Saccharomyces cerevisiae S288C: one gene and its partner. The protein of the gene in region 2 interacts with the protein of the main gene of each other region in a pairwise test. Each region holds a gene or a part of one and is shown on either strand. Other genes may lie near its edges.

The links.
Region 1: the proteins of SMC5 (region 2) and SAP1 interact in a two-hybrid assay, tested with the Saccharomyces cerevisiae proteins (2 studies listed by BioGRID).

The regions. Positions count from the first base shown.
Region 1 is NC_001137.3:244,294-248,440, forward strand, and holds the start of SAP1 (putative AAA family ATPase SAP1), read right to left. Parts: upstream 2,211-4,147; coding exon 1-2,210. Other genes in the region: CAJ1 (Caj1p), read right to left, coding at 2,689-3,864.
Region 2 is NC_001147.6:258,355-261,954, reverse strand, and holds the start of SMC5 (DNA repair ATPase SMC5), read right to left. Parts: upstream 2,033-3,600; coding exon 1-2,032. Other genes in the region: YOL036W (uncharacterized protein), read right to left, coding at 2,925-3,600.

The DNA of each region.
Region 1 (4,147 bases), on a different chromosome or scaffold from region 2:
GACAAGGATGACCACTGAACAAGAAATTCATTCTTTATCCTTCGGCTTGACTCATTTTCATTTTCGTTATTCCTACTACCCATGATAGAGTCAATTTCATCAACAAATATTATAGAAGGTGACAATTTTTTGGCAATTGCAAATAGTGCCCTCACTAATTTTTCACTTTCACCCAAGTATTTAGATGTCAAACTGGAAGCACTAATAGAGAAAAAGGTGGAGTGCGACTCTGTAGCTACAGCTCTCGCTAGCATTGTTTTACCTGTACCTGGTGGTCCAAATAAGAGCATCCCCCTGACTGGTTCACGTAACCCCCTGAATAAGTCTGGTCTCAAAAACGGATAGACAACTGCTTCCTTCAAAGAATATTTTGCACTTTCTAAACCAGCAATATCATCCCAATGAACTTCATCTCCGTGCACTACGATTTCGGCAAAAATTTGCTTTGCAGCTTGCCTATCTACACCTTGTAAACTATCAATAATTTCATCTTCTAAAATCTCCCTCAGGACTTTCTTGTCTATTTCAGGCTCTTCTCTTTGCTCATTTAGGGAAGTGGCATGTTCAGTGGCATCTTCTGTTCCAACATCTTCTATTTTTGGAGAACCGATTTTTTTTTGTGCTGGTATTTTTCGATTCGTTTTACTCATAGACGTGGTTTGATTTTTCGATGGCTTCTTATTCTGGGATGCACCATGCGAGTATGGTTTTGAGTTACTTACAGGTCTGGAAGGATGGCTACTCGTTTTCTTCGAACTGGAATTTGGGACTTTCGCCGTTTTGGATTTCAAAATGGGGTGACTCTTCTTCGTAGTGTTTAATGCGGGGTTACTCGCAACCTTTTTGCTGTTCAGAACTCTCTTAGCAGCCATTGCAGCCGTTTTGGGTTTTTGAATTACTGAATTTGGAACAGTCAGAGAAGAGGTCGGAGACGATGCATTGGATTTGATGATTGGTTTTGTATTACTTTTTGATCTTGTAATAAATGTTGGCGTTGATTTAGTGATAAGAGTGGGCGTTGATTTGGTACCCTTTAAGTATGGTACGTGATTATTCTTCATTAATTTTGATATTTGAGGATTCCTAATCTTTGATGAATCCATAGTAGTAGAAGTTTCTAAACTATGTGGCTTTAGAGCGCCAGTGCTGGACGCTCTATCGACATTTAATAAAGGAGGTGGAGGTAATGAAGGAAGAGCAGGGGCGGTAGTCGGCAGGGACTGTATGCATGATCCGGGAACATTTTCTGAAGAACTTACACTCTTATTACTGGACGTAGAAGAAGTAACAGACAAGTCAGACATTTGCTGTTGAATTGCTTCTAACGTTTTTATACGTCGTCTTTCCTCTTTTTCTTCTTCTTCTTCTTCTACGTCGACTTCGGAGAAATTATCATAGTAATCGGACACATCAAACTCGAAACCATCACTTTCTTCTTCATCAAAAACGTTGTGTCCTTTTAAAATGCCGACATCGTGATCATCCTCGTCATTAGTCAAATCTATCAATATTGGCTCTGAGATATATTTATCTGAGTACAGTTCAGTTTCCTTCTTAAGTGGAGGATCATTGTGCTCAATAGGGTTCTTGTGCTGTCTGCTTGCATTGTTGGATAAAGGCTTAGAAGGTACAAAATTTACTCTAATGTTCTCCGCATCTTCTCCGCGTTTTATCGATGTGCTGTTACCATATGATGATAGTGAGGGGTTGGAGTATGCGGTTTTATAGCCGCATGCATTTCTATTTCTTAATGTTTTCATCATTCTTCCGGGAACCATTTGGAATACAGGAGGTGGTTCAGTAGACCTTGTGAAAGATGAGCTATGATTAGTGTATGTTTTGGATGACGGCATATCATTCCTGGGAGCAGGCTCTTCTCGGACCAATTTTTTGACTCTTTTCAAATGCATAACGCTCTTGTGGTACAATTCTCGAATACCGTTCTGTAAACTAACTTCATCTTTCGTGTATGATTGAGTATTTGGGTAGTTATGCTCTATCAATGTCTGTTTGAATAGTACATCAGTGGTAAGCGCTTTCCATCCTTGCAATGCTTCTTTATATCGTTTTTTCTCTTCTAGGTTCAAGTAATATATTGTCTCATTGGCAATTCTACTGTAAAGTTCTGTAAAGTCGGTTAACGGTTGTTGAGGTCTTCTCCGTATCTTGGTTAATCTCGTTAAAATATGATGGCTTCTTTGTGAATCCATAGTGTCACAGTGCGATATAATCAATCCTGGTAAAACCGCACGAGTGAAAGGGAAAGAAAAATTGCGTTTGTTAGCTGCAATAAATGTAAAAAGACTATATTAAAAAAAGAACTGCAGCCTTTATTATTACCAATATATTTGATAAGAAAGTATATCGGACGCGTATTGTAGTTCTTGGGGAGCCGGTTGCTGTTGCTTCAGCCTCTTATGACCGTGAATCAAGAATTTTTATTATTCTTGATTTCAATTTTCTCCGCGAATCTCGGCTAAGATGCTTGGGTTGCCAGTGTTAATTCCATATATATACTGAATAATAGAAAATAAGTTAAAACATAAGTGCTGAAGACTTGAAAGGTTGGTGTGAGAAAACCCGTATGCCTGTGATATGTCTAGAATACATAGGGTTTTTTTTCTTCGCTTTGTAATTGATTGCGCTATATATGAAAAATATACATGAGGCGTTATTAACTTGCTGAGCTTATCTGGCCACAGTATGTTTTTTGTGTTCCTTCTCCTGCTCACCTAGGATTAGCTCTTCAAAAACTCTAGCTTCTTCAGCTTCTTCTGGTGACCTTCTAGCACTGGCAAACTTGTGGGCAATAAACAGCATTGCTTTTGCCTTTGCAATACGTTCCTTGGAAGGGACCTTTTTATCGTTTAGAATCTTATTGCAAACGTCTTTTAGTTTTCTTTCCAGTTCAAATTTCGACATAGCCCACATGACACCAAGTGCCTTACCAGCCATTGTGGACTCAAATTTGGCACGTTCATATTGGTCTAGTTCGTCAGTATTGACTTCACTCATTTTTTCCATGGCTTTTTGAGCTTCTAAGCCTGTAGACAATAAATTGTATGCTGATTTAACAGATCTAGCATTGTCGCGTGTACCAGTGAATATTTTAGAAATTCCGTAAGTCTTCTTGGACATGATAAAATTATTCGCTTTTGTCTTGTAAACCCTGGCCAATAAATACAATAACTCTAGACCAAAACTTTCTAATTTCAAATCCTCGATTTCTTGATCTAGTTTTCGCGTAAATTCCTCCAAGTTATTGGACTTCACAGCAATTAAGTACCTAGAGATTTTTTCGTTCAGTTTTTCTGCCAACTCGTCGACTTGTTTCATCATATCTTCCCGTCTTTTTTTCTCCATTTCCATTAGCTTCTCTCTTTGCTCCTTCGATAATTTATCTTTTTTCAAAGATTCAGCTTTATTAGTGTCATGCTTAACCATTCCACCATCAGTGCTCTCATCTGCTTTTTCGGTTTCAGTGGCTGCTGTACCCTCCTCATCTTCCTTTCCAAACATTTCTGTTGCCTCGTTTAGCTCTTTGAACAAAGAAAATTCTCCAATCCAATCTTTGAAGCCATCACCACCGAATATTGCTGTAAAGTATTCAGAAGCATCTTCAAATCCTTGCTGAGGAACAGCATCCTCCTTACCAAACTGGTCATACTTGGAACGAAGCCCTGGATCACTTAAGACTTGGTAGGCCTCGCCTACGGCTTGAAACTTTGCTTGAGCATCTGGGTCATCAGGATGCTTGTCCGGATGTGTTTCCATAGCCTTTCTACGATAGGCCTTTTTGATTTCAGTGGGCGTGGCCTCAGGCTTGATGCCCAAAATATCATAATACTCCGTCTCCTTTACCATATTCCCTCTTTTCTTTTCCTTTGAGTTAATACGTCTTAATTACGTGAAGCCGACAATTATCTAAGTTGCTCTTTTTACAGGCGTAAACCATTGGAAAGCAATGGTTACGGCTAACCGCGGATCCGACTATATCACCACTTTAACACTTTATCGTCCCTGTTTGTCCTTGGCAGTGTACATTCGCCATCAAATTTTCCGTTCTCCGCCCCATCTTGGTATGACGGGCGAAAACACCGCAGTGACGTTCCCAGGGTCTAAAACAATCCATAGGAGAACCACTTCG
Region 2 (3,600 bases):
CTAACGTAGATTTTCGATCGTTGTATTCATTCTTTAAGTTGATAATTTCATTTTCAATTCTAATTTTCTGCTCATTTGACATGATTGATCCCTGATAAAAATTAGTTTGTTTAATACTAACGTCAGTAGGAAAGACCTGCTTACTACCATATGCTGATTGCTTGATATCGACTAACCTATTCCCATGAATAATCCTTTTAAAAAGAATTTTCCCATTCGGTCTTGGTGTAATCAACTTCTTTATCTGAGCAGGCGTCAATTCCCTTCTTGATACCGGTATAGTATGAATTTTGCTAGTTTGACAAAGCATTTTCATAACCCTCTTATCACCGGTAATAAAATCGGATAGATAACCCTCAAATCCCAGGTCCCTCACCGTTTCCGCTGGTACAGGAGGGGTGGTGTCTGCACTGGAGAGTTCTCTCAAATTAACCTTGAATTTGTCAAGAATTGGATTTGCAAATAGCTTGTAAGAATCAGAATCAACAACAGTCAAGGCTTTACTCGTATTATAATCCACACATTGTGCTAAATATGCAGCAAATTGAGCGTTAATGGCAGACACGGTCATTATTGGCGGTTCTAGAATTTTATCTTTCATTTCTGGATGCTCTCTAACCATCAACACAGCATCACGGACCTCCTTTAAATCCTGGTCCTGATTTAAGATACCGATTTTATCAGTTGTTGTAAGGGATTTGGTCTTGCTTTCAGCTTGTCTCTGTATGCTTCTCATCTCATGATTAATAGCGTTCGCCTTCGCATCAATTTCGGAAATAAGATCCCTAATTTCGCCTTCTTTATTAATAATTTCCTTTCTTTTAATGTCTATATCTTCAAATACGCTTTTCTCAGGAAGATGTGTTTGTGCTAATATTTCCTGACTCCTTAGAAAATCTTCCTTTGTACTAATAATGGTGGCCTGTAGTTTTTTGGTTCTTCCTCTATAATATTCGTTCTGGTTTTTCTTTTTGATGACCTCATCCCTAATAGTATTTAATTTTTCGAAGATTTCGTTGATCTTTTCTTTTGCTTTCAGGAACTCATCAGTTTTTAGGGAACACTTCTCTGTTAACTCTTCCACCTGATTTTCCAAAGTCTTCTTAGTATTTGCAAATGGTTTTTTATCCTTCAGTATAGCCCTTAAGTTCGCTTTCGCTCGTTCGTATTCTTCTTTATATATGTTTAGCTTTTCTTTATGGTCCTTTACTTTCACATAAGGTAATAGTTGGGAGTGTAACTCGATTTCACCCTTCTTATTTTGAAAATCTCGTAAAGATTCAACTGATTTACGTAGTTTATCACTTTCTTGTCTCAAATGAACAATTTTAGCTTTTTTAAAATCGAGATCTTTTTGCAAGCTTTGCTCATTTCCTTGTAATTCCCTTAGTTCATCCAACACATCCAATAAGCTTGCATCGATTGACCTTATAGTCTCTACTAATAATTTAACTGACTTCAAGCGAGCAAACTCCTCAACACGCTCTTGAGATAAAAATTGACAAAGATTATCCAACTGAATGTTCAGCTGAGCAACTAAAGTTTTAACTACACTCTCAGATACCTGGTAGTCATTTATTAGATAATCCGATCTCCTCTTGGATCTCGTAATAATCCTGGTAATCTTTATTGTTTCATCACGTGCGTCTATGTATTCAATATCAGTAACATTTGGTGAATTTTTCAAGGTGATTTCAATTTTTGAAACATCTTGACCATTTTTGATGAAATCTTCCACTTTTTTACTCCTACCAATATACTCGGGTTTACCAGCCAATCCTAAACACACTGCGCATACGAAAGTAGATTTTCCAGATCCGTTTGGCCCAATGATCATATTTAAAGACGGTGAAAGATTGAATTCGGTTAAAGTGTAAGTAACAAAATCCTGTAAACGGATCTTAATAATGCTGCCTGGTTGGAAGGAAGACAAGTCAGGTTTTGCGATTTTTACCCTTTTCGATCTTGGCTCTGTATCTTCTCCATGATGCGTTCTTTCAACATATCTGCCCAAATCTATTAGACTGGTCATGCTAGGGATATAGCTTTTATGTACCACGCCCTTTTATTTGATATACTTCCTTTAGAATTGCGTACACGTACTTGTGAAAGTAAATACCTATTATCGGCATCTTGTCATCGCATAAAAAGGTAATCCAACGCGAAAGTTAACGCCATAATATAGCCCAGTCATCCTGAACGGTCTACAAGATTAATAAGATCAGCTATGCCAGCTTGTTGAAATAATTAGTGGCAACAAGTGTGTTGTCAGACAAATGTGATTATTTACATTTACAAAGATAGAAAGGAAATATCAAAACTATAAGAGTACACTACGGGCTAGAAAAAAAATAAAGGAAATGTTTCTTACATTAGTATCAGTGTAGCGGTTCTGTAAAGGTTAATCTTTGTTTGATTCAATCACGAAAAATCTGCTGCAAATTGCTACCTCTTTCATCATTCTAAAGTAAGTCCTTCTCTTATTCCTAGATGTTCGAGCAATACCAATTAAACTTGGCACGATGCGTGCAATTAAGAGTAATCGGGCACTGCACTCCGACTGGAGTCCGACGAATATCGTAGTGATCTTTTTTATCTACAGTACTGGTTGCTTATATCTTCCAGTGTATATATTCAATGTGGGAAGGAGGGAAAGGTCATTTTGCTAATTTTCATTTTTTCTCGCCTTTTAAAGCATGAGAAGAAAAGTTGACCATGTGTGCCAAAAAAAAAAAAGGTAGGGCTACCATCCTAATTAGAGTAATTTAAGGAATTTATTAAAATGCAATGTTAACTTTTTATAGAGTGCGTAAATAACTATGTAATGGTAAATACATGGCATACAGTATATGCGTGTTTACCACCATATATACGTGTATACTTATATTTTGTCTGCCGTTATATATAGCCAAGACCTTTTTCCTTCATGGGTTGTTCAACTTTCCACGGTAAAATCGGACATAATCAGACCATATCTTATTCATGGAAATTCGTTTCTTTTTCAAATACTGCAGGTCCTTATCACTGCACCATCTACAAGATGCAAATTTTCTTTCCAAAACAGCATACCTTTCATCTTCCTTGCGTTGCTGCTGAGCCAGGATTTCCACGTATTCCTTGGCATTGAGCTTCATGCCTTCTTTGTTTCTTAAATTGGTAATGCATAATCCGATGGTAGATTGCGTTTGTAACGACGAGCGATTGATGCGATGAGTACCCTCTGTGACAGAGAGTACGGGAACAAAACTTTGTAAGGCTTCTTTATCCAGATATATTTCACTTGGCTTTGTTTGCTGTTCAGGCAGTACATTTTTTTTGCTTGAATTTTTAGACAGTATCTTTCTACTTGACGTTCTTTTAGGAACATTAATCTTACCTTCTTCGCGTAGTGGAGAGATGTCGTCTGTTGATGATTCTGGAAGAGATGTTGATGCTCGATTAAATGTACTCACGCCATCTATTGAAACTCGATCATTTTCTTTTGAGACTGGCGTTGTCGGATGTCCTCCCACGGTTGATAAAGAGGAAAACGACAATTCTGTAGGCCCCGTAGTCACCATAGATTTGGGTGATAAAGTGAGAATTTCCTTACTATTATTA